Linked DNA regions of Anolis sagrei. The protein of the gene in region 1 interacts with the protein of each later gene in a biochemical or structural test. Links are inferred from orthologs where the notes say so. Each region holds a gene or a part of one and is shown in the gene's direction. Other genes may lie near its edges.

Region 1 (7,764 bases):
TGCCAGCCTAACGTCTACAGGAGGGGCGTTCCACAGCCGAGGAGCCACCACCAAGAAGGCCCTATCTCTCGTCCCCGCCAACCGTGCTTGAGAGGCTGGCGGGATCGAGAGCAGGGCCTCCCCACAAGATCTCAAAGTCCGGGTGGGTTCATAGGCCGAGATGCGGTCAGATAGGTATCTTGGGCCGGAACTGTTTAGGGCTTTATAGGCCAGTACCAACACCTTGAATTGGGTCCGGTAGCAAATCGGCAGCCAGTGGAGCTGGTGCAACAGGGTGGTTGTGTGCTCCCTGCGCTCCACTCCTGTTAGAATTATGGCTGCCGCGCGTTGGACTAATTGCAGCTTCCAGGCCATCTTCAGGGGCAGCCCCACGTAGAGAGCATTGCAGTAGTCTAGGCGGGATGTGACAAGAGCGTGGACTACCGTGGCCAAGTCAGACTTCCCAAGGTACGGGCGCAGCTGGCGCACGAGCCTGAGCTGTGCAAATGCTCCCCTGGTCACCGCTGAGACCTGGGGCTCCAGGCTCAGCGACGAATCCAGGGTCACACCCAAGCTGCGAACCTGTGTCTTCAGAGGGAGTGCGACCCCATCCAACACAGGCTGTAACCCTATACCCTGTTCGGCCTTGCGACTGACCAGGAGTACCTCTGTCTTGTCTGGATTCAACTTCAATTTGTTCGCCCTCATCCAGACCGTCACAGCAGCCAGGCACCGGTTCAGGACCTCGACAGCCTCCTTAGTAGCAGGTGGAAAGGAGTGACAGAGTTAGACATCATCTGCGTACAGGTGACACCGTACCCCGAAACTCCGGATGATCTCACCCAGCGGCTTCATGTAGATGTTAAACAGCATGGGAGACAAAATAGAACCCTGAGGAACCCCACAAGACAATGGTTGTGGGGATGAACAGGTGTCCCCCAATAACACCTTCTGGGAACGACCCTCCAGAAATGACCGGAGCCACTGCAGAACAGTGCCTCCGAGACCCATTTCCGCAAGGCGCCCCAGAAGGATACCGTGGTCGACGGTATCGAAGGCCGCTGAGAGGTCCAGAAGCACCAACAGGGACACACTCCCCCTGTCGAGCTCCTGGCGCAGATCATCCACTAAGGCGACCAAGACTGTCTCAGTTCCATGTCCCGGTCTGAAACCAGACTGTGCCGAGTCCAGATAATCCGTGTCTCTCAAGAATACCTGGAGTTGTGAGGCCACCACGCTTTCCAGGACTTTGCCCAAAAAGGGGAGATGGGAAACCGGCCGAAAGTTGTCACATTTAGTGGGATCTAGTGATGGTTTCTTCACACCCTCCCCCCTCCATGCCACATTTACATAAGCTCATCCTAAAATTAAAAACCCAGCCAGGTCTCTTCTACACTGCCATATAAAATACAGATTATTTGCTTTGAACTTCATTATATGGCAGTGTAGACTCATTTAGTCCAGTTTAAAGCAGATGATGTGGATTATCTACTTTGATAATTTGGATCACATGGCAGTGTACAAGGGGACGGAGGCTGGATCTACACTGCCCTATATTCCAGGATCTGATTCCAGATTATCTTCTTATCCCAGACTATCTGTAAGTGTAGACTCATATAATCCAGTTCAAAGCAGATAATCTGGGACCAGATCCTGGGATATAGGGCAGTGTAGATCCAGCCTCAGGCCCCTTCTACAGTGCCAGATAATCAAAGTTATCAAAGCAGAAAATCTACATTATCTGATTTTAACTGGATTATTTTAGGCCCCTTCCACACAGTTGAATAAAATCCCACAGTGTGGACTCAGATATCCCAGAATATCCAGGCAAAAAATTCACAATTACTGCTTTGAACTGGCTTATCTGAGTCCACACTCAGATAGTGTGGGGTTTCCTGCCTTGATATTCTGGAATATAGGGCTGTGTGGAAGGGCCCTCAGTTCAAAGCAGATATTGTGAGATTTTCTGCCTTGATATTCTGGGTTATATGGCTGTGTGGAAGGGCCCTTAGTCTACACTGCCATATAGTTCAGTTCAAAGCAGATAGTGTGGATTTTATACAGCTGTATAGATGGGGCCCCGGGGCCCTTCCATACAGCCATATAACCCAGAATTCAAGGCAGTTAATCCACAATATCTGCTTTGAACTTTATTATCTGAGTCTACACTGCCATATAATCCAGTTCAATGTGGATTTTATATAGCTGTGTGGAATGCTGCCACATTCCTTTTATCCCCCCCCCCCCTTCCCTTTCCTTCTTCATAGGAATAGTGCTATAACTGCTTTGCATGCTAGGTTGGGAGAAAGGCAGGGCTGAAATAAAACAAATAGATAATAAATAATTTTAAAAATAGATGCCCAACGATTTCACACTGACTCATAATTTGTGAACATCTTCAAGTTTCGTTTAGCCCATTGCTGATTTCACAAACAAAGCGACTAAACCAACCAGCTTCTCTTCCTGAGGACTCTGATTTGTGACTGTGCCTTCAAGTCGGCTGCCCATTTAGAGTGACTTCATTTCTCAGGCTGGATCTACACTGCCCTATAGCCCAGGTTTTGATTCCAGAGTATCTCCTTTGGATTAGATTATATGATAATCTGGGATCAGATCCTGGGATATAAGAAGTGTAGATCCAGCCTCAGAGGTGACTTGACCAGTTCTTGGGGAAAAAGGCGACTCTGTGTTGTTGTAGGTTTTTTCGGGTTATATGGCCATGCTCTAGAGGCATTCTCTCCTGACGTTTCGCCTGCATATATGGCAAGCATCCTTAGAGGTAGTGAGGTCTGTTGGAACTAGGAAAATTGGGTTTATATATCTGTGGAATAACCAGGGTGGGACAAAGGACTCTTGTCTGTTGGAGCTAGGTGTGAATGTTCAACTGACCACCCTGATTAGCATTTGATGGCCTGGCAGTTTTTTGGTGTGGCTTGTTAGTGCCTGAGGGAATCTTTTGTTGAGCGGTGATTAGCTGTCCCTGATTGTTTCCTCTCTGTTGTTTTGCTGTTGTAATTTTAGAGTTTTTAAATACTGGCAGGCAGATTTTGTTCATTTTCATGGTTTCTTCTTTCTGTTGAAATTATCCACATGCTTATGGATTTCAGTGGCTTCTCTGTGTAGCCTGACATGGTGGTTGTTAGAGTGGTCCAGCATTTCTATGTTCTCAAATAATATGCTGTGTCCAGGTTGGTTCATCAGGTGCTCTACTATGGCTGACTTCTCTGGTTGAAGTAGTAATAGAATAATAGAATCAAAGAGTTGGAAGAGACCTCATGGGCCATCCAGTCCAACCCCCTACCAAGAAACAGGAATATTTCATTCAAATCACCCCTGACAGATGGCCATCCAGCCTCTGTTTAAAAGCTTCCAAAGAAGGAGCCTCCACCACACTCCGGGGCAGAGAGTTCCACTGCTGAACAGCTCTCACAGTCAGGAAGTTCTTCCTCATGTTCAGATGGAATCTTCTTTCTTGTAGTTTGAAGCCATTGTTCTGCGTCCTAGTCTCCATGGCAGAAGAAAACGAGCTTGCTCCCTCCTCCCTGTGGCTTCCTCTCACATATTTATACATGGATGGCTATCATATCTCCTCTCAGCCTTCTCTTCTTCAGGCTAATCATGCCCAGCTCCTTAAGCCGCTCCTCATAGGGCTTGTTCTCCAGACCGCAGAGCTTTTCATGTTCCTTGATTCCTGAATGCATTTGGTGATCCCTGTAGACTTGTCCACATGTAGACTCTGGTTTCTCTCTTTGGATTCACCCTTCCTTCCTTTTCACTCTATTTTCTCTTTCAATTTTGGTCTGGTTGCCATTTGCCCCCACAAGGGCACTGGATCTCCTCTTCTCTTGGAAGGTAAGCCCTGGTTAGCCCTTGGATGGGAGACCAACGAACATTGTAGCTTGTATTTCAGAGGAAAGAACTGGTCAAGTCACCTCTGAGGCTGGATCTACACTGCTTATATCCCAAGATCTGATCCCAGATTATTATATAATCCAGTTCTAAGCAGATACTCTGAGATCAGATCCTGGGACATAGGGCGTGTAGACCCAGCCTGAGAAATGGAGTGGCTCTAAGTGGGCACCCGACTTGAAGGCACACACACACAAATCAGAGTCCTGCCTGCCTCTGCCTGCTGCTGCCTGGCAAGTCTTTCTAAGCTTCTCCTTGTTCGACAAGGAAGTGTTTTCCTCGCAGGAGTCCTTGGCTTCCACGGGAGCGCCTCTCCTCCCAAAGCTCCCTTCCCCGAGTCCTGGGCTCGGCTTCCTTTCGCTCCGGAGCGACTCCCCTTTGCGTCGGCTTCCTGTGTGGCAGGTGAGGTGCGGCTCAACTCCAGACTCCGGCTTCCGCCCAGGTGAGAGCCAGCCAAGACCTGGGAGGAGGCAAAGGCAAACGAGGAAGAGACCCTCGCTTGCTCTCTCCCTCCCCTTCCCGGGGATCAGGTAAGGAAAAAGGGGTCTTGAGCCCTCGAGTGGGGCCATGGAGGGGGCAAAAGGGGCACCCTGGGCAGGCAGCCTTCTCCAGCTGATCTTGGGCACTGACACGACGCCCTCCCTCTGCTTCCTGGCGCGTTTACGTTGCGTGGAATGCCGCCCCACTTTTGCTTTGCCAAACTCTTGGCAGGGGCGTCCAAGCTCGCTGGCCTTCGGAGTTTGCGGCTTTGCTTTTTTTAGCCCCGAGATCCTCCCACGCGTAGCAAAACTACCCAGACCGCAATCCTCGTTTGGACTGCAACTTTCCAGCCACCAACTGGACGGCTTCAGCCAGGGCTGGTTTTGCAAATCTGGCCAAAGGGAGCAGCTTGTTTGTGAAGCCGCCGCCTGGGAACTTTAGACCAGAGCTGCTGCTTAGAACTTGGCCCACTCCTGACCCTTTGCTGCCTGATACATTTGGATGTATTCCCCTGGTCTATAGGTATAAAAATCAAACATTTATTTATCTACAGTATTTATTTACCTCTTTTCTCACCCCTGGGGGGGGGGGGGGTTTACAAAAAACAATAGCAACACTCAATGCCTTGCATACATAAACCAAAAAGCATATGACTATTCATAAAATAGGACAAATTTACCATAAGATAGCAGGGCATTTAAACATGAAGCATAAAACATTAAAAACACATAATAAAAACATGATTTACTGACAATAAACCAGCATTTATTGTCAGTAAATCAGTGTTTCTCAAACTTGGGGTTGGGACCCCTGGGGGAGGGGTCGCGAGGGGATATCAGAGGGGTCACCGAAGACAGTCAGAAAACACAGTATTTTTTCTCTTGGTCATGGGGATTCTTTGTGGGAAGTTTGGCCCAATTCTATCATTGGTGGGGTTTAGAATGCGATTTGATGGTAGGTGAGCTATAAATCCCAGCAACTACAACTCACAAATGTCAAGATCTATTTCCCCCAGACTCCACCAGTGTTTACATTGGGGCATATTGAGGATTCATGCCAAGTTTGGTCCAGATCCATCATTGTTGGAATCCACTAGTGCTCTGTGGATGTAAGTGAACTACAACTCCCAAACTCAAGGTCAGAGTCCACCAAACCCTTCCAGTATTTTCTGTTGGTCATGGGAGTTCTGTGTCCCTGGTTTGGTTCAATTCCATCATTGGTGGAGTTCAGAATATTCTTTGATTGTACATGAACTATAAATCCCAGCAACTACAACTCCCAAATGACAAAATAAGCCCCTGTCCAACCCCACCAGTATTCAAATTTGGGCATATCGAGTTTTGTGGTAAATTTGGTCCATGAATGACAATACAGTACATCCTACATATCAGATATTTACTTTACAATTCATAACAGTAGCTGAATTACAATTATGAAGTAGCAACTAAAATAATGTTATGATTGGGGGTCACCACAACATGAAGAACTGTTTTAAGGGGTCGCGGCATTAGGAAGGGTGAGAACCATTGCCAAAGATGCAGGCGAAACGTCAGGAGAGAATGCTTCCAATAATATAATATATTGTAGTAAAGGTAAAGGTTTTCCCCTGACATTAAGTCCAGTTGATTCTGACTCGGGTGTGGTGCTCATCTCCATTTCTAAGCCGAAGAGCCGGCGTTATCCGTAGACACCTGCAAGGTCATGTGGCCGACATGACTGTATGGAGAGCCGTATATAATGTAATACAATATAATACTATGAATTCTACTACTAATAATACATTATAATTATATATTTTATATTGCATGTAATATTACAATATCATGGTATAGTACAATATAGTAATATATAATACTGATGCTAAAAATATAATATATTGTAAGCTGCTCTGAGTCCCCTTTGGGGTGAGAAGGGCGGCATATAAATGTTGTAAATAAATAAATAAATAAATAAATAAAGTAGAACATGGCCATACAGCCTGAAAAACCTACAACAACCCAGTGATTCCAGCCATGGAAGCCTTTGACAATATATTAAACCAACATTTGCCAGGCAGAGTTTCTTTTTGTGGAATACAGCTGAAGACTCCACTGTAACATTGCGCCTTTGTTGTTGACAGATTTGGGTTAATGGGTAGCCTTCAGAAACCTTTCACTGTAGCCAAATGTTTTGTGACCCCAGCATTGATCTAAGGGGACCCTACTTGGGTCAAGACCCACAGTGCTCTGGGCCCCTTCCCCACAGCTGAATAAAATCCCAAATTTTCTGCATTGAATTGGAATATATAGCAGTGTGGACTCAGATAACCCAGTTCAAAGCAGATATTGTGGGATTTTCTGCCTTGATAGTCTGGAGGTCCTTCCTCATAGCCCTATATCCCAGAATATCAAGGCAGAAAATCCCACAATATCTGTGTTGAACTGGGTTATCTGAGTCCACACTCAGATAATGTGGGATTTCCTGCCTTGATATTCTGGGATATAGGGCTGTGTTGAAGGGCCTTGGGTTATATGGCTGTGCAGAAGGACCCTAGGTAGAGGGAGGCAGAGGAAGTGCCGGGTGTTTTCAGGGATTTCAGATAACATGCAATACCTATCAAACTCTACTGCTACATGATTAGCATTTCAGGTTCTTCAATATTGGTAGAATCAGCCACAAACATGCATTTAAGAGAGGACTCTGCAATATAGATCTGTGAATGAGACATTCTATATTGTTCATGTCAGGCCCGTAGCCAAGATTTTGATTCGGTGGGGGCTGAGTTTGATTCGGACGGGGGGGGGGGGGAGGGGTGAGTCTGAGTGAAAGAGGGTCTACTCTAGCAAACTTTTTGTATCGTTACCCCAATAGCCCCATGCATATGGGATATATTGAGCATGGTGATCAGATCATGGTATGAATAAACATAACAATTTAAATAATGTACCAGTAAGGCCTTCTCGCGGGCTACCATGAGAATTTCGGGGGGGGGGTGCTGAAGCCCCTCAAGCCCCCCCCCCAAGCCCCCACTTTGTTGAGGGCCAGCATGATATAACAGACCAGGGTCTGAGTCTCTGCTCAACCATAGAAGCCCCCTGCCTGCCCTTCAGAAAGTCGTGCTCTCTTTGCCTCAGCCTTTTTTTTGAACTAATTTTGGCAAGAAATCCTGGTCCCTTCCACATAGCCCTATATCTCAGAATATCAAGGCAGAAAATCCGGCGATATTTGCATTGAACTGGGTTATCTGAGTCCACACTCAGATAATGTGGGATTTTCTGCCTTGATATTCTGAGATATAGGGCTGTGTAGAAGACCCCCCTGTGATAGACTTGTTTTAGGGTTACCATAAGTGAGAAGGAAGGAGCCCCCGGTGGCGCAGTGGGTTAAAGCACTGAGCTGCTGAGCTTGTTGATCGAA
Region 2 (8,335 bases), on another chromosome or scaffold:
GAACATAGGGCAACTCTATGAATGAAACCGCCAACCATTATTTATTTATTATTGCTACTTAGTAAAATTGAACTTAGGGCAACCCTAGGAATGAAACTTCCAACTGTTTATTATTATTATTATTATTGACACAAAAGCACAGTATGTCACAGCAAACGAGATCTATATGCTGGATTTCCTATCACAAAATCACAAGTCGAACACTTCCCAAGCGTCTAGGACTTGTGTGATGTATTTTCGAATGATGCGCACAGATCCAAGTAACGTGGCCTTTTGCAGTTGACAGATCGTAATTTTGTCAGTATTTATTGTTTCCAAATGCTGGCTGAGATCTTTTGGCACGGCACCCAGTGTGCCCATGACCACTGGGACCACCAGTGCTGGTTTATGCCAGAGCCTTTGCAGTTCGATTTTGAGGTCTGAGTTTTTCCTGTTGTTTTTCCTCAATGTGACTGTCACCCGATATGGCGACATCAATAATCCAGACTTTTTTCTTTTCCACAATCGTGATGTCTGGTGTATTGTGTTCCAAAACTTTGTCAGTCTGGATTTGAAAGTCCCACAGTATTTTTGCATGTTCATTTTCCACGACCTTTGTGGGTTTATGATCCCACCAATTCTTTGCTGCTGGCAGGTGGTACTTGTGACATAAGTTTCAGTGAATCATCTGGGCCACAGAGTCATGTCTTTGTTTGTAGTCCGTCTGTGCCATTTTCTTGCAACAGCTGAGGATATGATCCAAGGTTTCATCAGCTTCCTTGCACAGTCTGCATTTTGGGTCATCTGCTGATTTTTCAATCCTGGCCTTAATTGCATTGGTTCTGATGGCTTGCTCCTGGGCTGCAAGAATCAGGCCTTCTGTCTCCTTCTTCGGGGTCCCATTCATGATCCATAACCAGGTCTTCTCCTTGTCAACTTTTCCTTCAATCTTCTCAAGGAACTGCCCATGTAAGGCTTTGTTGTGCCAGCTGTCAGCTCTAGTTTGGAGTGCAGTTTTCTTGTACTGACTCTTTGTCTGCTGTGCTTTGAGAAGTTTCCGATTATTGACTTCAATTAAAGCAGGTTCTTGGCTTTCCTTGACATATTCTGCCAGGGTGTATTTTTCTTCTTCGACTGCTTGTTTGACTTGTAAAAGCCCTCTTCTACCAGACTTTCTAGGCAGCTAAAGCCGGTCAACATCACTGCGAGGATGTAATGAATTATGAATGGTCATGAGTTTTCTAGTTTTTCTGTCCAAATTGTCCAGTTCTGCCTGCGTCCAGTTTACGATGCCAGCAGTATATCTTATGACAGGTATGGCCCAAGTGTTTATGGCCTTGATGGTGTTGCCTCCATTGAGCTTGCTTTTGAGAATTTTTCTGACCCTTTGAATGTATTCTTGGCTGACCACAGTTTTCACATGTTCATGTTTGATGTTGTCCAGCTGTAGTATGCCGAGATATTTATAGGCCTCTGGCTGGTGACACTTGATCGCTTGGCCATTGGGCATATTTATGTCCTCACTTTCAATGATTTTTCCCTTCTTCAGTGCCACTGCCGAACATTTGTCCAAACCAAACTCCATGTTGATATCCGTGCTAAAGATTCGGACGGTGTTAGTCAGAGACTGGATTTCAGTTTCAGTTTTCCCATACAGCTTCAGGTCATCCATGTACAGCAGATATGATATTATTATTATTATTATTATTATTATTATTATTATTTGCCACTAAGTCAACTTGAACTTAGGGCAACCCTATGCATGAAACCTCCAACCATTATTTATTTAAGCCCCCTGGTGGCACAGTGGGTTAAACCATTGAGCTGCTGAACTTGCTGACCAAAAGGTTGGCGGTTTGAATCCGGGGAGCGGAGTGAGTCCAGCATCTGCCAACCTACAAGTTCGAAAACATGCAAATGCGAGTAGATCAATACGTACCACTTCTGCGGGAAGGTGATGGCACTCCATGCAGTCATGCTGGCCACATGACCCCCCAGAGTCAGACATGACTATACTTAATGTCAGGGAAAACCTTTACCTTTACCTATTATTACATTATATTTATCATAATCATCATCATCATCATCATTTTTTTTCTTCTTCTTCTTCTTCTTATTATTATTGCCAATAACTTTAACTTAGGGCAACCCTACAGATGAAACCTCCAACCATTATTCATCATTATTATTACATTATTATTATTATTATTATTATTATTATTATTATTGCTGTTAAGTCAACTTGAACTTAGGGAAACCCTATGAATGAAATCTCCAATCATTATTAAATTATTATTATTATTATTATTATTATTATTAAATTTATGGTATTATTATTATTATTATTATTATTATTATTTAATTTATGGTATTATTATTATTATTATTATTATTATTTAATTGCCACCAAAGTCAACCTGAACATAGGCAAACCCTATGAATGAAATCTCCAATCATTATTCATTATTTTTATTACATTATTATTGTTATTATTATTGCTGCTAAGTCAACTTGAACTTAGGGAAACCCTATGAATGAAAACTCCAACCATTACTAAATTATTATTATTAAATGTATGGTATTATTATTATTATTACTATTATTATTCTTATTCTTATTTAATTGCCACCAAGTCAACTTGAACTTAGGGAAACCTTATGAATGAAACTTCCAACCATATTATTATTATTATTATTTGCCACTAAGTCAACTTGAATTTAAGGCAACCCTATGAATGAAACCTCCAACAACAACAACAATAATAAAAAAATAAAAAAATAAATTATTCCTGGCAAGCAGTAAATGGAAATGTAAGCTGGAAAATTCAGGAGGTGACTTTGAAATTCACAAGGAAAGGTGGGTAATAATAATAATAATAATAATAATAATAATAATAATAATAATAAGTATAGTATTAGTAAGTATGAGTAAGGAGCCCCCGGTGGTGCAGTGGGTTAAACCCTTGTGCCGGCAGGACTGAAGACCGACAGGTCACAGGTTCGAATCCGGAGAGAGCGCAGATGAGCTCCCTCTATCAGCTCCAGCTCCTCCTGCAGGGACATGAGAGAAGTCTCCCACAAGGATGGCAATACATCAAAACATCCGGGTGTCTCTTGGGCAACGTCCTTGCAGACAGCCAATTCTCTCACACCAGAAGCGACTTGCAGTTTCTCAAGTCGCTCCTGACACGACAAAACAAAAGTAAATATAGTATATTATAAAATAATCATAGAAAATAAATAAATAATATATAATAATCGTTTTTCATTCATTTGATTCTTCTTTATATATTCATTCTTCTTGTTGTCTTCTGGTGGGACCTGGACAATCTTCTTTCAAGTATTTGACCAGGTTTTCAGCAGAAGGGACCTGTGTGTTTGAAATGGGTTACAATGAGAAACAACAACAACAATATAATATAACATAATATAACATAACAGCCAAGACCTCCCAACAAAGGATCCTCCAGGCAGGAAGCAGCCAGACTTTGAAGCTACAAGGCCCTTCATAGAATCATAGAATCAAAGAGTTGGAAGAGACCTCATGGGCCATCCAGTCCAACCCCTGCCAAGAAGCAGGAATATTGCATTCAAATCACCCCTGACAGATGGCCATCCAGCCTCTGTTTGAAAGCTTCCAAAGAAGGAGCCTCCACCACACTCCGGGGCAGAGAGTTCCACTGCTGAACGGCTCTCACAGTCAGGAAGTTCTTCCTCATGTTCAGATGGAATCTCCTCTCTTGTAGTTTGAAGCCATTGTTCCTTGTCCTAATCTCCATGGAAGCAGTAAACAAGCTTGCTCCCTCCTCCCTGTGACTTCCTCTCACATACTTATACATGGCTATCATGTCTCCTCTCGTCCTTCAGGCTAAACATGCCCAGCTCCTTAAGCCGCTCCTCATAGGGCTTGTTCTCCAGACCCTTGATCATTTTAGTCGCCCACCTCTGGACACATTCCAGCTTATCAATATCTCTCTTCAATTGTGGTGCCCAGAATTGGACACAATATTCCAGGTGTGGTCTAACCAAAGCAGAATAGAGGGGTAGCATTACTTCCTTAGATCTAGACACTATGCTCCTATTGATGCAGGCCAAAATCCCATTGGCTTTTTTTGCCGCCACATCACATTGTTGGCTCATGTTTAACTTGTTGTCCACGAGGACTCCAAGATCTTTTTCACACGTACTGCTCTCGAGCCAGGCATCGTCCCCCATTCTGTATCTTTGCATTTCGTTTTTTTCTGCCTAAGTGGAGTATCTTGCAAGAGATGTAGTTTCCCAAAGTACCTTAGTAAGCCAGACTCCCTGGTGCATCAATCCTAGGAGAGTTTCTCCCCGTAGAGATGTTCAATGTATTGTCGAATTTATTTATTTATGTATTTACTTCATTTATTTACCGCTTTTCTCAGTCCTTGGTCGACTTTCTCAGCCCTTGGGCGACTCAAAGCGGTCGAAGGCTTTCATGGCCGGAATCACTGGGTTGCTAATCGAGGTGGCCAATCTCAACATTCACACTTGCCTCAGGCAGACAAGAGTTCTTTCTCCCACCTTGAACATTATTCCACAGGTGTATAAACCCCACTTGCCTAGTTTCCAACAGACCCTTCAACCTCTGAGGATGCCTGCCACAGATGTGGGCAAAAGGTCAGGAGCAAATACTTCTGGAACATGGCCAGACAGCCCGAAAACACTCACAGCAAGCCAGTGATTCAGGCTGTGAAAGCCTTTGACAACACATTCTCTGCCTGGCTTGCGTAGCTCCCTCCCTCCTTCCTTCTTTCTCCTGTTTGTTGTTTGCCAAACCGGAGCCTGCTGGCCTCACCTGGCCCAGGTGTGCCAGGCCCTGCCCGAGGGGGCGAGGCCAAGGGAGGGCCCAGGAGGAGGAGGGGCCAAAGGGCAGCCCTGGGCCTTTCCTGGGCAGGTAAGCCTTGGCGGTGGGCGATGGGACCTCCTTGAAGGAGGGCCTCTGAGCAGAACATGGCCGTGAGGTTTCAGGTGAGACCTGCCCTCCCTTCCTTCCTACATTCCCTCCCTCTCGCCCTCCTTTTCTTCTTTCCCTCTTCTTCTTGTCTTCTTCTCTTTCCAATTGTTCCTTTGGCCGCTGTCCTCATTCTTCCTTGTCTTCTGGTTCTTACCTTTTTTCTCTCCTTCTTTCCATCTTCCTTCCTCTCTTTCCAATTGCATATATTCTCCCCTTCCTTCCTTCCCTCCTTCTTCCTTGCATTCCATTCCTCCTTCCTTCCTTCCTTCCTTCCTTCCTTCCTTCCTTCCTTCCTTCCTTCCTTCTTCCTTCTTCCTTCTCTTTATTCCTTAATTCCCATATGCCTGCCCTGCCTCCTTTCCTTTCCCTTTTCTTTTCCGTTCTTCTCTCCTTCCTTCCTTCCTTCCTTCTTTCGTCTCTCTTTCTTTCTTTCTTTCTTTCTTTCTTTCTTTCTTTCTTTCTTTCTTCCCTTTCCTCAACTCAAAGGTCTTTGGACAGAGGACTTTTTCTTCTCCTTTTTTTAAGGCTCTTAAACCCTTCGAATAATCCAATCCTTTCTTTTCTAATCTTTTTTTCTTTCACTGATCTGGCCTTCTTTGGTGTTTTCCGCTCTGCTGGGCCTTGGAAGGGAGGCAAAAAACAGAGAGAGATTGGCATTGGATATGAAGCAAGCCGGTGCCCTTCCTTTGCTTTGTCTTGACAATAAGGGACCCCCAAAGGCCATCTAGTCTGACCCCGTTTGAATCCCATGCAATCCCTCCTAACAGATGTCCAGGGAGAGCACACGTTTCAGCGAGAGGCCCACGTTCCATTCGGGCGGCAAAGAGGGCTTGGCTTGGTTCCATTGGTTCGCCAACTGCCCAGGAATGTGGACCTGTCCCTCCCTTGTTGTGCCTTTCTGGGAGGCACTGTTTACCTTCCCAGGCGGCCTTTTGAGAAAAAAAAATCCCTTTTGAGCCTCAGAAAGACTTCTGACGCTTAGGACTTCTGACGCTTAGATCCACTTTTTCACTTGTTGACATTGAGAGGTCTAGTTGTGAGACCGATCGGGGAATAAAGTGGTTACCTATGCTCCACGGGTTTACATTCCCCGTGAGGACATATCTCTGCAGTCTGGGGGTTCTCCTGAACTCGGCACTGATGCTTGAAGCACAGGTGTTGGCATTGGCTGGGAGGGCCTTGAAAAGCCAGACTTGGCCACGGTGGTCCACCCCTTCGTTACATCCAGAATGGACTACTGAATGGCGCAGCTACTGACAGAGAGGTCATGAGTTCGAAACCAGCCTGGGTCGGAGTGAGCTCCCGACCATTAATAGTCTAGCTTGCTGTTGACCCATGCAGCCCAAAAGACAGTTGCATCTGTCAAGTAGGAAATTTAGGTACCGCTTTATGCCAGGAGGCTAATTTAACTAATTTACGACACCATAAAACCTTCCAGCAGCATGTGTAAGAATGAGGAAGTACTCCATCAAAGATTCGGTGTCACAAGTGGATAGTGAAGCGGCAACTACTCCCTGTGCATACCCTCAAAAGCTGGAATGTTAAATTGCCTCTGTGTCTGTCTATATATATTTTATGTCTAAATGACGTTGAATGTTTGCCATGTATATGTGCATTGTAATCCAGCCTGAGTCCCCTGCGGCGCGAGAAGGGCGGAATATAAATACTGTAAATAAATAAATCCTGCAATGCACTCTACATGGGGCTGCCTTTGAAGATGGCTCGGAAAGGTTGACAGCCAGGCTACTAACCTGGGCTAGTTATAGGGAGCATGCTAGGCTCTTATTAAAGCAGCTCCACTGGCTGCCGACAAGTTTCCAGTCCTCTAAAGCCCTACTCGGTTTAGGTCTTTCCTGTCTTCATGACCACATCTCCCCCTTTGAACTGGCACAGGCTCTAAGATCCATCGGAGAGGCCCTTCTCTCAGTTCCACCTCTGTCTCAAGCACAGTTGGTGGGGACGAGAGAGAGAGAGAGAGGGGGGGGGCTTCTTGGTGGTGGCCCCCCCGGCTCTGGAACGCCCTCCCCAGGGAACTTAGGCTGGCCCCCACACTCCAATGTTTTTGGAAAAACTTGAAAACATGGCTCTTCCAGCAGGCCTTCTCACTACCTCTGAGGATGCTTGCCATAGATGCATAGATGCAGGCGAAACGTCAGGAGAAATGCCTCTAGAACATGACCATATAGCCTGAAAAAACCTACAACAACCCTTCACACATGGTCAAAACATCAGTTAAAACTTGAGGACCAAGCGAATTGTTTGGCTCCAGCACTTTAATGCGACTGAAATTGATACGACCTATTTCAATCCACAGCTATGGCTGTGTTTTTCAGCAAGGATTTTATTTACATTAGTAGGGGTTTTTATTTGCGATTTTTATGTATATCTATTTTATGTTAATTGATATTGCTATTGTTTTATACATGTTCATGTATTTTACTGTACCTTGTGTATTCTGTTGCACTACTACATGCTTTTGTAAACTGACCCAAATCCCTTTGGTGGCAGAATATAAATAAAAGCATTATTATTATTATTATTATTATTATTATTAGATACACAACAAGATTAGTACACAGCAAACAAAATCAGTCTGCTAGCTTTTGAAATGGATCACACGTCGGACACTTCCCAAGTGTCTAGGACTATGTGATGTATCCACAAATAATGTGTGCAAATCCAAGTAGGGTGGCCTTTTGCAGCTGACAGATGGTAATATTGTCAGTGTCGATTGTTTTTAAGTGCAGGCCAAGGTCCCCACTTTGCATGTTGAACCTTGAATGCTTTTGTGAGCCGCCCCCAGTCCCTTCAGGGAGATGGTGGCAGGGTACAAATAAAGTATTATTATTATTATTATTATTATTATTATTATTATTATTGTACACAGCAAACAAGATCACTCGTGGATCACATGTCGGACACTTCCCAAGTGTCTAGGACTGTGTGATGTATCGGTGAATAATGCATGCAGATCCGAGTAGAGTGGCCTTTTGCAGCTGACAGATGGTGATTTTGTCAGCGCCGATTGTTTTTAAGTGCAGGCCAAGGTCTTTAGGCACTGCACCAAGTGTGCCAATCACCACTGGGACCACCTTGACTGGCTTGTGCCAGGGTTTTTGCAGTTCAGTCTTTAAATCCTCATATCGTGTCAGCTTTTCCAGTTGCTACCCGTCATCCCTGCTGTCACCTGGGATTGCAACATCAACGATCCATACTTCTTCTTCTTCTTCTTCTTCTTCTTATTATTATTATTCTCATCATCATCATCACCATTATCTCCTGGACACTCTCTTACTGACCTGATGGCCAATGAAACTCTCCTTGACTAAGTGGTAGGAGACTACCAATTACATCCCGTATGGACTACTGCAATGCA
Region 3 (7,684 bases), on another chromosome or scaffold:
TAATTCCCAGACTCTCGTCCTTCAGGAGCTTTGGACAACACTAGGGATTCTCGAACCTGGAAGACCAAAGTTGGGGAAGCACTGGCTGTAGATGCACCTATTTCCTAAAATGCAGAAACCCTTTGCGGATGAGGGAAAAAACAACCAGGCACATTTTAACACCTCTCAACAGGGGATTTTCCCAGGCTCAGCCAGGCCTTCAAATGCTAATGAAGGTGATCAGTTGAAACATTCACATCTAGCTCCAGCTTCTTGCCCCATCCCAGCCATTCCAGAGATATATAAACCCATTGTCCTAATTCCAACAGACCTCACTACCTCTGAAGATGCTTGCCATAGATGCAGGCGAAACGTCAGGAGAAATGCCTCTAGAACATGGCCCTATAGCCCGAAAAAACCCACAAGAACCTAGTGAAAAACACCTTGTTTGTTCTTCACCAACACACCAGACCCTTGCGGTGTTTTTATCTCTCGGTATAATCCTCCGCCAAGCAATTCTCAGACAGCACTTTCCATAATTGTTCTTCAGCTCCAAGACCATCCAGCCACAAAGAGCGAAAACAACTCAAAAGGGAGGAGGAGGTTGTTTTGGTCCGGACGTTGCTTCATCTTGATGACTTGAGGGATTTTGGCTGGCCTCTCGGAGGGGTTTGCAAAACACGCCGGCTCAAGGGATGAGGATTACCCACCAGGCCTGGCTCCACCACAAAGGGATCCAGAAGCAGGGAAACATCATCGCTCCCTTCTATCCGAAACAACAAACAAAAGTGGCTCCATAAATAGAACGTCTCTCGTGTGTTGACTCTCCCCTCCTCTGGCCTCAAACAGGGATGGTCCTGGCATTCGTCTTCTGCATTTTTTCCCCAAATCTCCAGGTTATAGAATCACACAATCTTGGAGTTGAAAGGGACCCCCGAAGGCCATCCAGCCCAAACCTTTTCTGCCAGGCTAAAATGCACAACTACATCCCCTAGAATCATAGAATCATAGAATCAAAGAGTTGGAAGAGACCTCCTGGGCCATCCAGTCCAACCCCATTCTGCCAAGAAGCAGGAATATTGCATTCAAATCACCCCTGACAAATGGCCATCCAGCCTCTGCTTAAAAGCTTCCAAAGAAGGAGCCTCCACCACACTCCGGGGCAGAGAGTTCCACTGCTGAACGGCTCTCACAGTCAGGAAGTTCTTCCTAATGTTCAGATGGAATCTCCTCTCTTGTAGTTTGAAGCCATTGTTCCTTGTCCTAGTCTCCAAGGAAGCAGAAAACAAGCTTGCTCCCTCCTCCTCCCTGTGGCTTCCTCTCACATATTTATACATGGCTATCATATCTCCTCTCAGCCTTCTCTTCTTCAGGCTAAACATGCCCAGTTCCCTAAGCCGCTCCTCATAGGGCTTGTTCTCCAGACCCTTGATCATTTTAGTCTCCCTCCTCTGGACACATTCCAGCTTGTCAATATCTCTCTTGAATTGTGGTGCCCAGAATTGGACACAATATTCCTCCTAGTGTGCATCTACATGTGGAATTAATGCATGTTGACACTACTTTAACTACCATGCTCATGGCCTTGGCATCATAAGAGCTATAGTTTTATAAGGTCTTTAGCCTTCTCTGCCAATGAGTGTTGTGCCTTTTCGCCTGGCAAAAAAAAGGCTTCTCCACCAAATAGTGTTATTATTATTATTTATTTTTATTATTATTTATTTCAGGTACTTTTACCCCGCCCTTCTCAACCCCCGAGGGGGGACTCAGGGCGGCTTACAAAAAGGCACAATTCGATGCCTACATAGAATACATACAGCAATCAAACAATTATCACAGTTAAATTGGTCAGTATATAACACAATCAATAAAAATAAAACACAATCAATAAAAAACTAATCTCAAGCTCAGCGTTCGTCTTTCAGAGTTCCATAATTCCATTCCACTTTCTCAATTCCTGTCCATTGTCGAAATCCTCCTTTATCTGCCCGATTGTCCGAATGCCTGGTCCCAAATCCATGTTTTCAGTTTTTTCCTGAAGGAAAGGAGGGATGTCCCTGTTCTGATTTCCCCGGGGAGTGAATTCCACAGGTGAGGGGCCACCACCGAGAAAGCCCTGCTCCTCGTCCCTGCCAATCTCACTTGTGATAGAGGCGGGGTCGAGAGCAGGGCCTCCCCAGAAGATCTTAGACTTCGAGGTGGGATGTAGAGGGAGATCCGTTTAGACAGATACACTGGGTCGGAACCGTATAGGGTTTTGTTGCCTCACCAAACTACAACTCCCAGGATTCTATAGCAGTGAGCCATGACAGTTAAAATGGGGTCAAACTGCATTAATTCGACAGTATAGATGCACCCCTAAAAGCAGGTTTTCCATTCTCTGCTTAAAGACCTCCAAAGAGCGAGGGTCCACCACATGTTGAGGAAGGCCGTTCCCCTTTCAAACCCCTCTTTCACTCAGGAAAGTTTTCTCAATGTTTTGGTAGAGTTTCTTTTCCAGGAGTCGGAATCTATTACTCTGTCTTAGGGTGCAGAATGAATTCAGTTTGACCCATGTTAACTGCCATTTTCCAATGCTATTGAGTCCTGAGTGTTATAGTTTGGTGAGGCAACAACACTATTTGGTGGAGAAACCTCAGAGACTGTGTAAAACTATAACTCCCATGAAATCTCAGTGTAATGACTGAGAGTACTGTGAATAGAGGGATAAAATGTGGAGGCCGTGACAGACTTTGTATTTCTAGGTGCAAAGATGACTGCAGATGCAGATTACTGTGGCCAGGAAATCAGAAGACGCTTCCTACTCGGGAGGAGAGCAATGTCCAGTCTCGATATAATAGTAAAGAGCAGAGACATCAGACTGGCAACCAAGATCCATTGCCTAGTCAAAGCCATGGTCTTCCCTGTAGTCACCTACGGATGTGAGAGCTGGACCTTAGGGAAGGCTGAGCCAAGGAAGAGAGATGCTTTTGAGCTGTGGTGTTGGAGGAAAGTTCTGAGCGTGCCTTGGACTGCAAGAAGATCCAACCAGTCCATCCTCCAGGAAATAATGCCTGACTTCTCACTGGAGGGAAGGATACTAGAGACAAAGTGGAAGTCCTTTGGCCACATCATGAGGAGACAGCAAAGCCTAGAGAAGGGAATGATGCTGGGGAAAGTGGAAGGCAAAAGGAAGAGGGGCCGACCAAGGCAAGATGGATGGATGGCATCCTTGAAGTGACTGGACTGACCTTGAAGGAGCTGGGGGTGGTGACGGCCGACAGGGAGCTCTGGCGTGGGCTGGTCCATGAGGTCACGAAGAGTCTGAGACGACTGAACGAATGAACAACAACAACATGGCAGCGTAGAAGAGACCTGAAATAAGAAAGAGCAATAGATTGACTTTTGCATGTGTGAATCCCTCTGAGGAGCAGCTGAGGGAGCTCGGGATGTTTAGCTTGGAGGAGAGAACGATAAGAGGGAACATGATGCTTGAGTTGATTTATTGGAAAGGATGATACATTGAGGAGAAAGGGAAAAGCGTGCTTCCTGTTGCTCCAGAGGCTGGGACACAATGGAGCCATGGATGCAAATTGCAGGGAAAGAGATCCCACCTATGTTTTAGGAAGACATTCCTGATGGTAACAGCTTTCTGACAGTAGGATGTGTCACTTTGAAGTATGGTAGAACCTCCTTCTATGGAAGTTTTGTTAACAAAGAGTTGTGCTTGAATTATTTCTTCCCACACAGTAGTACGAGGTTGGACCGGATGACCTCTGGGTTCCCTTTCAAGTCGAGGGGTTCTATGTAATCACACACGACGTCTAGCAAGAAAGTATCTGGAAATCCCTTTGACGCCTCTCCTTTCCTGTTCTGGAAGTGTCCCGACGCTTCCAAAGAACAGGGTGGATCCTGCAAGGGAGATGTGTCATGAAGCGAGAGAACACATCGGGGGTGCACTTTGGCCCAGGAAGGAACGCAACTTGGGGTGACTGATATTGCCTTAACCCCACACCTTTTCCACCAGTCGAAGCAAGTATCTTTCCCCACCTTTCCCCAGAACTAAACCTTGAAGTATGGGTTGCAAAAGAACCGTCAAAGCATTGTAACTTTTTTTGTTTTGTGGTTGCAATTTTTCATTTGGGAAAGCAAAGCACTGGATGGACGGCAAAGTCGAACGAAACCACCAGGCGGAGCTGGAGAGGCGCTGGTTTAAATAGAGCTGCCGAGCTGCCCCGAAAGCCAGTTCTCCAAGTCGGCTCCAAGTCCAGCAGCATCAACCTGCTCTGAAATCCCTCGGATTACAAAAAGGAGAGCAGAGAAGAGCAGAGAAGGATCCCTCCTTGGCTTCATCTCTCCAAGGACCAAGCGCCCTTCCTTCCTCCATCCATCCATCCTTTTCAGGTGCTCCTTTGCCTCATTGTTGCTGTTCCAGTGGAGACGCAATGGCCAGTGGTGGTCTGCAGATGCTGGGCTTCCTCCTGGCCTTCATCGGCTGGATCGGCACCATCGTCAGCACTGCCATGCCTCAGTGGAAGATCAACTCCTACGCCGGAGACAACCTCATCACGGCCCAAGCCATCTACGAGGGGCTCTGGATGAACTGTGTGATGCAGAGCACCGGGCAGATGCAGTGCAAGGTCTTCGACTCCCTCCTCAAGCTGCCAGGTAGGGCCCCAAAACAGGGTCAAGATGGTGATGATGGCAGGTTGGGTCTCTCTCATCTGAAATGCACAGGAGCAGATGTGCTTTGGATTTGGATTTATTGGTATTTTAAGATCGGGATAGACCTAGCATGGGCAAACTTTGACCCTCCAGGTGTTTTGGACTTCAACTTGGTAGTTGGTAGGGTGTTAGGAATTGTGTGAGTTGAAGTCCAAAACACCTGGAGGGTTGAAGTTTGCCCATGGTGGGTCTATCCTGATCTTAAAATATCAATATATCCAAATCCAAAGCACATCTTCTGGTCCTAACCGGACTTGACCCATATATAGTGTCCTATGAAATGTCATTGAATGCTGTCTTAGATTTGGGTGCCATCTCAATGACACCTCATGCTATAGGTCTATCCCAGACATGGGCAAACTTCGACCCTCCAGGTGTTTTGGACTTCAACTTGGTAGTTGGTATGCTGTTAGGAATTGTGTGAGTTGAAGTCCAAAACATCTGGAGGGTCGAAGTTTGCCCATGCCGGGTCTATCCCGATCTTAAAATACCAATAAATCCAAATCCAAAGCACATCTTCTGGTCCTAACCGGACTTGACCCATACATAGTGTCCGATGATCTTGACCCATATATAGTGTCCTATGAAATGTCACTGAATGCTGTGTTAGATTTGGGTGCCATCTCAATGACATCTCATGCTATAGGTCTATCCCAGACATGGGCAAACTTCGACCCTCCAGTGTTTTGGACTTCAACTTGGTAGTTAGTAGGGTGTTAGGATTTGTGTGAGTTGAAGTCCAAAACACCTTGAAGGCCCAAGGTTGCCCATGTCTTGAGTAGACCTATATCATAAGATGTCATCGAGATGAGAACCAAATCTAACACAACATTGAGTGACATTGCATAGGACACTATATATGGGTCAAGACCATAGGACAGTATGTATGGGTCAAGTCTGGTCAGGACCAGAAGTGTTTGGGAGTTGGTGTTTACCCCATATTCAAATATATATGTACATCACGAGAGAACTTGGGTGTGGGCTCCAAGTCTAAATGTAACATTTGTGTCAGTTTCATAGACACCTTCCACAGGTCAATAATTCCTTATCCCAAATGCTTCTGTGTCATTGACTCCTATGGTTGAGATTCCAGGGGTTTTCATATTTTCAGATACTTGTATCTGCAATTACGGACATCATGAGATGTCTTGGAGATGGGACACCAATCTAAACACAAAATTCATTTAGGTGTCATAGACACTACACACTCGTACAGGTCAACTCTCCCTTTTCCAAATGCTTGGGACTAGAAGTGTTTTGGAATGCTTTGTTTTGGACATATGTAAACAATGAGATATATGGAGATGGGATTCAAACCTAAACATGAAATTCAGTGATGTTTCATCAACAATGGAATTCAGATGTTGGCTACGAACCTCATGAGATATCTTGGAGTTTGAACCCAAGTCGAAACTTGATATGTTTCATAGACATATGAGTGTTCTTCGTCAAAAACAGTTGGGATCAGTCATCTTGGTATCTTGGAATTTGGGTTTTTTTGAAATATGTATTTGTCTAAACACAAAATTCATGTATATTTAATGGACACCTTATTATGGGTGGAGTATTCCTTATCTGAAATCCTGGTGAACAGAAGAGTTTTGGGATATTTCATATTTTCCAATACCTGTATTTGCCTATCTGTATCTTTGAGATTAGATTCAGGTTTAAACTATCTATGAAACATACAAAAGTCATGGAAAGGCAGAATATTCCTTATCCAAAATGGTTGGGATCACTTGTGTTTGGGGTTTTAGATTCCCCCCTCCTCCTTATATGGGTGGAGTATTCCTTATCCAAAAGGGTTAGAACCAAAATGTTTAGGATCTGGAATACCTGTTTCTGGGTATGCTCACATATTGAGGAATCTTGGACATGGGATCCAAAGGTAAACACAGCATCCATGTATGTTTAAAAAAGACAGTTTGAGTATTCCTTATCCGAAATGTTTAGAACCAGAGTTGTTTGGTATTAAAATTTTTGGAATTCTTGTATTTGTGTCTTCGTCCCTCATGAGATCATAGAATCAAAGAGTTGGAAGAGACCTCATGGGCCATCCAGTCCAACCCCATTCTGCCAAGAAGCAGGAATATTGCATTCAAATCACCCCAGACAGATGGCCATCCAGCCTCTGTTTAAAAGCTTCCAAAGAAGGAGCCTCCACCACACTCCGGGGCAGAGAGTTCCACTGCTGAACAGCTCTCACAGTCAGGAAGTTCTTCCTCATGTTCAGATGGAATCTCCTCTCTTATAGTTTGAAGCCATTGTTCCATTGTGTCCTAGTCTCTAAGGAAGCAGAAAACAAGCTTGCTCCCTCCTCCCTGTGATTTCCTCTCACATATTTATACATGGCTATCATATCTCCTTTCAGCCTTCTCTTCTTCCTGGCTAAACATGCCCAGCTCTTTAAGCCGCTCCTCATAGGGCTTGTTCTCCAGAATCTTGATCATTTTAGTCACCCTCCTCTGGACTAAAATGATCAAGATTTTGGAGAACAAGGCTGAGGGAGTGGTCCCTTTGCTTTCCAGTGATACAGAAACTTTGCTTTGTGTGCAAAACAATTACAAATATTGTCCACTAGCTGTCCCCTGCCATGCGTTGCTGTGGCCCACATGGGGGTTCTGTGTGGGAGGTTTGACCCAATTCTATTGTTGGTGGGGTTCAGAATGCTCTGATTGTAGGTGAACTATAAATCCCAGCAACTACAACTCCCAAATGTCAAGATTCTATTTTCCCCAAACTCCACCAGTGTTCACATTTGGGCATATTGAGTATTCGTGTAGAGTTTGGTCCAGATCCATCATTGTTTGAGTCCACAGTGATCTCTGGATGGAGGTGAACTACAACTCCAAAACCAAAGGACACTGCCCACCAAACCCAGTATTTTCTGTTGGTCATGGGAGAACTGTGTGCCAAGTTTGGTTCAATTCTATCGTTGGTGGGGTTCAGAATGCTCTTTGATTGTAGGTGAACTATAAATCCCAGCAACTACAACTCCCAA
Region 4 (8,580 bases), on another chromosome or scaffold:
GAAAGAGAAAATTATTGTGATCACACAATTTATTCTGTTAAATTACTAGGTGTTAAACTTTCCTAGACACTGGCATATTTTAGAGATAGACTCTCACTGGAAGAGGAATGTCAGTTCTTAGCGGGGGAAATCCTCTCTGCTTTCAAAATAATGGAAGTTTTTCAGCTGACTTGGCTCATTGTCCTTAGAAGTACGGCCAGTGGCACAGTAGTGAACAGATTAATGCTGACATTACCGCTGCATGTTCTAATGTCAAGAGCACCTCCAACAGTGACACATGGGAAGGGATAGAAAGCTTTTCAGTGTATGTTACATAAAGTGATACCTGCAGCAAGATCAGACGTAGATCCATCATTATGGAAGCACGGAGCTCGAGAGTGAACCCACTGCAAGGATAACTAATGGCTGTTTCAGGCTAACTGGTCAGATTAAAGTGTGACAAATAGGGCAAAACCAAGAAACTTGCTCTTATAAATTTAAAAATGTTATCTTGTAAATTGGGACCATGGAATTGTGAAGTGATTAACCGTCAATGTGTGTGTGTGTGTATATGCCAAATATATCCAAGATTTTGCAATTGTCTATCTTCAGGATTCATCATCATCATCATTTGATGCACAACATGATTAGAAAACAGCAAACAAGATCACTATGTTGGCTTTTGCATTGGATCACACATTGGACACTTCCCAAGTGTCTAGGACTGTGTGATGTATCAGTGAATAATGTTGGAGCATGCAAGAAATCAATTAGTGTGTGTCAACTGTAAAATGAGATGCATGAAGCTGATTGGTTGAGCTTCGTGCAGGGAGATGGCTGGGCCTGGGACTTTTGGTTACTGTTACATTTTTGTTCAGATTTGAGCTATGCAGGTGCTCAGAGAGAAGCACAGAAAAGAGAAGCAGAGAGAGACAGCGTTTGGAGTGTGAACTGCTGAAAGAGTTTATCCACATGGACAAAGAAAGACCATTTTAAATCTCTCATAAAAGGACATTATGTGAGTTGATGTAACTGATCACATTGTACATATTGTTGTGAACTACGAAGAGTAAACTACTTGTTCTTTATTGTTCATCTGCATGGCATATTTTCTTTCTCTGGCAAGACAGTGTGTGGGCTGATCAAATGTGAACTACACGTAGTTTATTTTTATATTACATCACAAATAATGTGTACAGATCCGAGTGGGGTGGCCTTTTGCAGTTGACAGATGGTAATTTTATTTATTTTATTTACAGCATTTATATACTTCTTTTCTCACCCCTAGGGGGACTCAAAGCGGTTTTGTCAGCACCAATTGTTTTTAAGTGCAGACTAAGGTCTTTAGGCACTGCACCCAGTGTGCTCATCACCGAGACCACCAGTTATTTTTATTATTAGTTATACCCCACTTTTTCTCTCCACAGAGGAGACTCAAAGCAGCTCAATTCTATGCATGCTTATTTAGCAGCAAACCTTATTAAACACAGTGGAGTTATTTCTGAGTTAGCATTATAGGAGAGTGTAACTGTAATATAGTGACTTAGATGTTGACCGTTTAGCTATAGAAACCCACTGGCTGACCTTGGGCAAGTCACACTCTCTCAGCCTCAGGGAAAGGTAGAGGCAACCTCTTCTGAACAAGTCTAGCCAAGAAAACCCCATGAAAGGTTAAAGGTAAAGGTTTCCCCTTGACATTAAGTCTAGCCGGATCCAACTCTGGGGAGTGGTGCTCATCTCTATTTCTAAGCCAAAGAGCCGGCATTGTCCGTAGACGTCTCTAGGTCATGTGGCCAGCAGGACTGCATGGAGCACCATTACCTTCGTGCCGGAGTGGTACCTATTTATCTACTCACGTTTGCTTGTTTTAGAACTGTTAGGTTGGGAGCAGCTGGAGCTAACGATAGGAGCTCATTCCGCTCCCCGGATTTGAACTGCTGACCTTTCGGTCGGCAAGTTCAGCAGCTCAGCAGTTTAACCCACTTCACCACTGAAGGTTCCTTTAGGTCCACTTTAGGGCCCTCTTAAACTAGAAACAATCTGAAAGCACACAACAACCACCACCACCATAGGCATCTGTATTAGAGTTGTTCTCAGTATAATAAAACTACTGGAGCAAAAATATGAAACGGGAATTTGAGAAAACTTTTAGATTTTTACTATGACTTTTGCCAGTTTTCTGAAGTTCTCCAATACTTTTGAGGCTACTTGAACTAGGTTTGCTCTAACAATGAGTGATTTCATGAATAAAAAAAAATACAATGAACCTTTACAAACAATGAAATGTACTTCTTCCAAAATGATTAAGTGGTTCTGAGCAAAACATTTAAAAGGCAAACGGTATTTGTCAAACTTTGTTAGCTTGAAAACAAGGGGAAATAGGCTGCAACTTTGGGCCTTGTTTAATGAGCAGGAGTGGGGCGAGTCAAGAAGAGGTGGGAGGTGAAAATGGGGGAGTAGTGGAAACAGATGGCATGAGAGGAGGGAACTTCTACAAATGTTCAGTTTAGATCTTGGGTGAAGAAATGGAAAATAGGGAGAAGGAATGTGCAGAGGGAGATTTCTAATAAATTCAGATCTCTGAAGCCTGTTGCAGAGGATGAGACACACACTTGAATGTTATGTATGTTCAAGGCATTTCTGCTTCTCATTTGGTATCAGCCATGGATTGAGGTTCCGGGTTTTAGCCTGCCACTTTTGGACTCTTGCTTGCTGAGGTGTTCCTGTGAGTATCTCTGTAGATCTTAGAAAACTATTTCTTGTTTTAAGGCATTGGCGTGCCGGCAGATATCTGAACAGCGGGTGGGCCAGATACGTCATTGCCTTGGTCCTTTTATTATTGGCTGCTACTTCCTGGTGGATGTCAGGTGATGCAATACCGGTCAAACAGTATAATTTCTCTATGGGGTGTAGACATCCTGTGATAATGTTCCACACGAAAACAGCCACATCCACTGTTTTAGTGTGGTGAGATGTGTTCCACGCTGGGCGTGCATATTCAGCAGCAGAGTAGCAAAGCCCAAGGGCCGATGTCTTCACTGTATCTGGCTGTGATCGGCAGGTTGTGCCAATCAGCTTTCGTAGGATATTGTTTCTGGCACCCACGTTTTGCTTGATATCCAAGCAGTGCTTCTTGGAGTTATCTGATTGTAGTGTTTATGTTTGTTTATAGTTTATTTTATGTTCCAGTATTGAATATTGGCCCTATATATGTTGTGCTCTGCCCTGAGTGAGAAGGGCAGAATATAAATGCTTTAAATCAGGGGTCCTCAAACTAAGGCCCGGGGTCAGATACGGCCCTCCAAGGTAATTTACTCGGCCCTCGCTCGGGGTCACCCTAAGTCTGAAATGACTTGATAGCACACAACAACAACAATCCTATCTCATCAGCTAAAAGCAGGCCCACACTTCCCATTTAAGTTTATATTTGTTAAAATTGTTCTTCATTTTAATTATGTATTATTTTTAAGTGTCTTTTTAGCACTACAAATAAGATATGTGCAGTGTGCTTAGGAATTCATTCATTCCCCCTCCCCCCCCCCCATTATAATCTGGTCCTCCAACAGTTTGAGGGAGTGACCTGGCCCTCTGCTTAAAAAGTTTGAGGACCCCTGCTTTAAATCAATCATTTTGACATTGACATTAGGCGATCCCTCGATGTCTGATTAAGATTGTCCTCCAAGTTCGGTGTCCTGGCAGTGGGTACGTAGGTGACTTTGGAGCCCTATTCTTGATGCGCATGTTATCTCGCAGTGAGGGCATTGGTTTTCAGGTGAAAGGCAGTCCCAGTTGGGGTTGGCTTGGCACGCCTTCCTCTTGGCACATTTCTCTCTTTCGCCTTCCATTCGTGCCCCTTCAAATTCTACAGCACTGCTGGTCACAGCTGACCTCCAGCTAGAGCACTCAAGGGCCAGGGCTTCCCAGTTCTCAGTGTCTATGCCAGTTTTTAAGGTTGGCTTTGACCCATCTCTTTTCCTGTCCTCCACCCTGAGTGAGCCCTCGGTGATGCAGTGGGTTGATCCCCTGTGCCAGCAGGACTGAAGACTCTCTGGTCACAGGTTCAAATCCAGGGAGAGTGTGGATGAGCTCCCTCTATCAGCTCCAGCTCCCCATGCGGGGACATGAGAGAAGCCTCCCACAAGGATGGTAAAACATCAGAAACATCCAAGCGCACCCCGCGCAACATCCTTGCAGACTGCCAATTCTCTCACACCAGAAGCAACTTGCAGTTTCTCAAGTCGCTCCTGACATGACAAAAACAAACAAACAAACAAACAAACAACACCTGAGTGAGAAGGGCAGGATGTAAATGCTTTAAAACAGGGGTCCTCAAACAAAGACCTGGGGGCTGGATACGGCCCTCCAAGGTTATTTACCCAGCCCTTGCTTAGTGTCAACCTAAGTTTGAAATGACTTGAAATCATTAGATTGGTTTTTAGGGACTGTGATGTATAATGGATTGTTTTAATTGCTGTTTATATATGTTTTATTTTTACCTTGCTGTTGTACTGCCATTGAATTGTGCCTTTTGTAAGCCGCCCTGAGTCCCCCCTCGGGGGTTGAAAAGGGTGGGGTAGAAGTGCGAGAAATAAATAAATAAATAAATAAAGCACATGACGACGACAACAACAACAATCCTATCTCATCAGCCAAAAGCAGGCCCACACTTCCCATTGAAATACTAATAAGTTTATATTTGTTAAAATTGTTCTTCATTTTAATTATGGTATTGTTTTTAAGTGTCTTTTGCACTACAAATAAGATATGTGCAGTGTGCATAGGAATTCATTCATTTATTTATTTTTTACAAATTATAACCTGGCCCTCCAACAGTTTGAGGGACTGTGACCTGGCCCTCTGTTTAAAAAGTTTGAGGACCCCTGCTTTAAATCAATCAATCAATCACCCCCTTGGGTTGCTGTAGTTTTTTTGTGCTGCCTGGCCATGTCCTAGAAGCATTCTCTCCTGACGTTTTGCCTGCATCTAGGGCAGGCATCCTCAGAGGTTGTGAGGTCTGTTGCAAACTAGGAAAATTTATCTATCTGTGGAAATCCCCCCCCCCTCTTGAACTCCAGGTTTGAAGGGAGAAAGAGGAGGAGGGATGGCATGGCCAAGGCTTGTTCTCCCTTCCTCCTCCTCCTCCTGCTTGGCCCTGCAATCCTGCTGAGCCCCCTTTCCTGCTAATTGGTCCCAGATGGTTTGCCTGTTTCCCCCCCCCCCCCTTCTCCCCTGAGCAACAGGAACTTTGGCCGCTGAAGGGAGGGAGAGAGGGAGGAAAGGAGGAGTGAAAAGCCCATAACAAGCGGAAGGGGGTTGCCAGGGTGAGCTGGTGGTGAGCTTGGCTGAAGTTGAGGAGGAGGCTCAGCCCAGACACGGGCGGAGGAGGGGAAAGAGGCGAGACATCCCTCTGCCACACAACCTGGGAGGAAGAGGGAGGGAAGGAAGAGAGAGAAAGGCAGGCAGGCAGGAAGGAAAGAAGGCGGAGACTGGCTCCCAATGAGCTCATCCTCCCCTTCGCCTGCCTTCCTCGCCTGCTCTCAGCGCGCAACGAGGGCGCAAGAGCCAAGGGCGACCCAGTCTCCTGCTTCCTCTTCTCCTTCCTCGCCCAGGCAGGCAGGTAAGTGGCCCACGAGTCGCCTCCCTTCTTCTCCCCCTTCTCCTCCCTTTCCCCAGTCCTTGCTCAAAAGGAAACCAACTGGGAGCCGAAGTTTCTTCCCGGCGAGGGCTTGTCCCTTCTTTCTGCGCGCCCTTCCTTCTCTGGGTTGTTGTAGTTTTTTTTCCGGACTATGGTCTAGAAGCATTCTCTCCTGACGCTTCGCCTACATCTGTGGCAGCCATCCTCAGAGGTCATGGAATCATAGAGTTGGAAGAGACCTCATGGGCCATCCAGTCCAACCCTATTCTGCCAAGCAGGAAAATTGCATTCAAAGCACCCCCGACGGATGGCCATCCAGCCTCCAAAGAAGGCGTCTCCACCACATTCCGCGGCAGAGAGTTCCCCTGCTGAACGGCTCTCCCAGTCAGGAAGTTCTTCCTCATGTTCAGGTGGAATCTCCTTTCTTGTAGTTTGAAGCCATTGTTCTGCATCCTAGTCTCCAGGGAAGCAGAAAACAAGCCTTCTCCCTATAACTTTTCCTCACATATTGATACATGGCTATCATGCCTTCTCTCAGCCCTCTCTTCTTCAGGCTAAACATGCCCAGCTCTTTAAGCTGCTTCTCAAAGGGCTTGTTCTCCATATCCCCTGATCATTTTAGTCGCCCTCCTCTGGACACATTCCAGCTTGTCTCCAGGGCAGGCATGTAGCGGGGGGGGGGGGGGGGCTTGGGGGGCTTCAGCCCCCCCCCCCGAAATTCTCATGGTGGTCCGCGAGAAGGCCTTGCTGTTACATTATTTAAACTGTTATGTTTATTCATATCATGATATGTATGTATGGGGGTATTGGGGTAATGATACAAAAGGTTTGCTAGGGTAGACCCTCTTTCACTCAGACTGCGCCCCCCCCTCCCGAAACAAAATCCTGGCTACGGGCCTGCTCCAGGGCACCAGAAAACAAGCTTGCTCCCTCCTCCCTGTGACTTCCCATCACATATTTATACATGTCTCCTTTCAGCCTTCTCTTCTGCAGGCTAAACATGCCCAACTCTTTAAGCCGCTCCTCATAGGGCTTGTTCTCCAGACCCTTGATCCTTTGAGTTGCCCTCCTCTGGACACATTCCAGCTTGTCAATATCTCTCTTCAATTGTAGTGCCCAGAATTGGACACAGTATTCCAGGGCACACGAAAGTGGTTTGGACACCCTAACTCAAAGCCACAGAGTCACCAGAGTTTGGAGAAGGCTGAGGACCTGACAGGACTACAACTTCCGTGGATCCAGGGCTTTGAGGCATGGCAGTACAAGCGGTGTCAGAATTGCATTCACTCTACATTTCTGCCTGGCTGAAAAGTGGCTTCTGGGGCAAGTGGAGAAGCTGGGACCCAATAACGTTTTGGGAGAAAGGATGTATTAGGAGAATTGTACACACTGTGCATTGACCTGCCCGCGTTCTGAGATCCTGGGAGTTGTTTTGCAAGCCTGCTCTGCCTCCCCAAACCACAGCTCCATGCCATGGAGTCATGGCACTCAAAAGTTGATGCCAAAGCTACACAGAAAAGCCATTGAAATCCACAAGCATGTGGACAATTTCAACAGAAAGGAAGACACCATGAAAATGAACAAAACCTGGCTACCAGCATTAAAAGAATCTAAAATTATAACAGTAAATAAAGAACAACTCTCAAACAAACGGTAACTCTCCACAAGCAACAACTAGACACAGCTAACCACCTCTCAACAAAGGATTCCCCCAGGCAGGAACAAGCGACACCTAAAAACCGCCAGGCCATCAAATGCTAATTAAGGTGGCCAACTGAAACATTCACACCTCGCTCCAACAGACAAGAGTTCTTTCTCCCACTCTGGACTTTCCACAGATATATAAACCCAATTTTCCTAGTTTCCAACAAACCTCACAACCTCTGAGGATGCCTGCTACAGATGCAGGTGAAATGTTAGGAGAGAATGCTTCTAGAACATGGCCATACAGCCTGAAAAACCTACAACAATCCAAAGCTACATTCCTTCTGCAATGTAGATGCGCTTCAAGTCCAGGAGTGCACAGGGTTTGTATGGCACTCAAAGTGAAACTACTGGAGGGGCATCTCTAGAAAGTATACTGCCCTGGCTCCATACTATGGAATCTTGGGAGCTGCAGTTTGGTGAGGCACCAGCACTATTTGGCACCTTGCAAAACTATAACTCCCAAGATTCCATAGCATTTATTTATTTATCGTGACAGAAGCGAACCGAGGGTACAGTTGTAATGTATTTTAAAACATAAACAAAGTTAAGAAACTGGGCATTAGGCTAAATGTTGTTGTCAGTTTTCTGGGCTGTATGGCCATGTTCCAGAAACATTCTCTCCTGACATTTCGCCTGCATCTGTGGCAGGAATCCTCAGAGGTTGTGTGGTTTGAGACATTGAACCCTCAGAAAGGGTTGACTAGTAGCTGGCCACTTGGAGTGTCTCTGGTGTTGCTATAAGAAGGTCCTCCATTGTGCATGTGGCAGGGCTCAGGCTGAATTATAATATGTGGTCTGTGGTTTGCTCTCCTCCACACTTGCATGTTGTGGACTCCACTTTGTGCCCCATTTCTTAAGGTGGTGCCAGAGAGCAGTCTGTTTAGCGCCTTCCAAGTCGCCCAGTCTTCTCTGTGCCCGGGGGGGGGGGGGGGGGAAGAGTCTCTCATTTGGTATCAGCCATGGCTTGAGGTTCCGAATTTTAGCCTGCCACTTTTGGACTCTTGCTTGCTGAGATGTTCCTGTGAGTATCTCTGTAGAAAACTATTTCTTAATTTAAGCATAGCGTTGAACCATGGCAGTTAAAGTTGTGTTAAACTGCATCAATTCTGCACTGCAGATGCACCCTTGGTTTAAGCGACTGGGAACCAGATGTGGCTGAGGTCGTATGCTAAACGCCAGGCTTTTGTACAAAAGGACTAGCAGAAGGAGCAGAGAGCTGTTTCAGAGAACAGTTAAAGCAACGTCAAACTGCATTATTT

Evidence for each region.
Region 2: the proteins of PATJ (region 1) and TJP3 form a complex in vitro, tested with the Homo sapiens proteins (2 studies listed by BioGRID and IntAct, with this or other methods). The link is inferred for Anolis sagrei from reciprocal best matches to the Homo sapiens genes PATJ and TJP3.
Region 3: the proteins of PATJ (region 1) and CLDN1 form a complex in vitro, tested with the Homo sapiens proteins (2 studies listed by BioGRID and IntAct, with this or other methods). The link is inferred for Anolis sagrei from reciprocal best matches to the Homo sapiens genes PATJ and CLDN1.
Region 4: the proteins of PATJ (region 1) and TANC1 interact in a test that uses a peptide from one of them, tested with the Homo sapiens proteins (2 studies listed by IntAct, with this or other methods). The link is inferred for Anolis sagrei from reciprocal best matches to the Homo sapiens genes PATJ and TANC1.

Annotation. Positions count from the first base shown.
Region 1 is NC_090024.1:167,747,528-167,755,291, reverse strand, and holds the start of PATJ (inaD-like protein), read left to right. Parts: upstream 1-4,099; 5' UTR 4,100-4,418; intron 4,419-7,764.
Region 2 is NC_090034.1:53,429,083-53,437,417, reverse strand, and holds the start of TJP3 (tight junction protein ZO-3), read left to right. Parts: upstream 1-4,861; 5' UTR 4,862-4,955; coding exon 4,956-4,973; intron 4,974-8,335. UniProt on the Homo sapiens protein: TJP1, TJP2, and TJP3 are closely related scaffolding proteins that link tight junction (TJ) transmembrane proteins such as claudins, junctional adhesion molecules, and occludin to the actin cytoskeleton.
Region 3 is NC_090023.1:271,015,005-271,022,688, reverse strand, and holds the start of CLDN1 (claudin-1), read left to right. Parts: upstream 1-4,189; 5' UTR 4,190-4,403; coding exon 4,404-4,626; intron 4,627-7,684.
Region 4 is NC_090021.1:201,130,959-201,139,538, reverse strand, and holds the start of TANC1 (protein TANC1), read left to right. Parts: upstream 1-5,431; 5' UTR 5,432-5,475; coding exon 5,476-5,596; intron 5,597-8,580. UniProt on the Homo sapiens protein: May be a scaffold component in the postsynaptic density.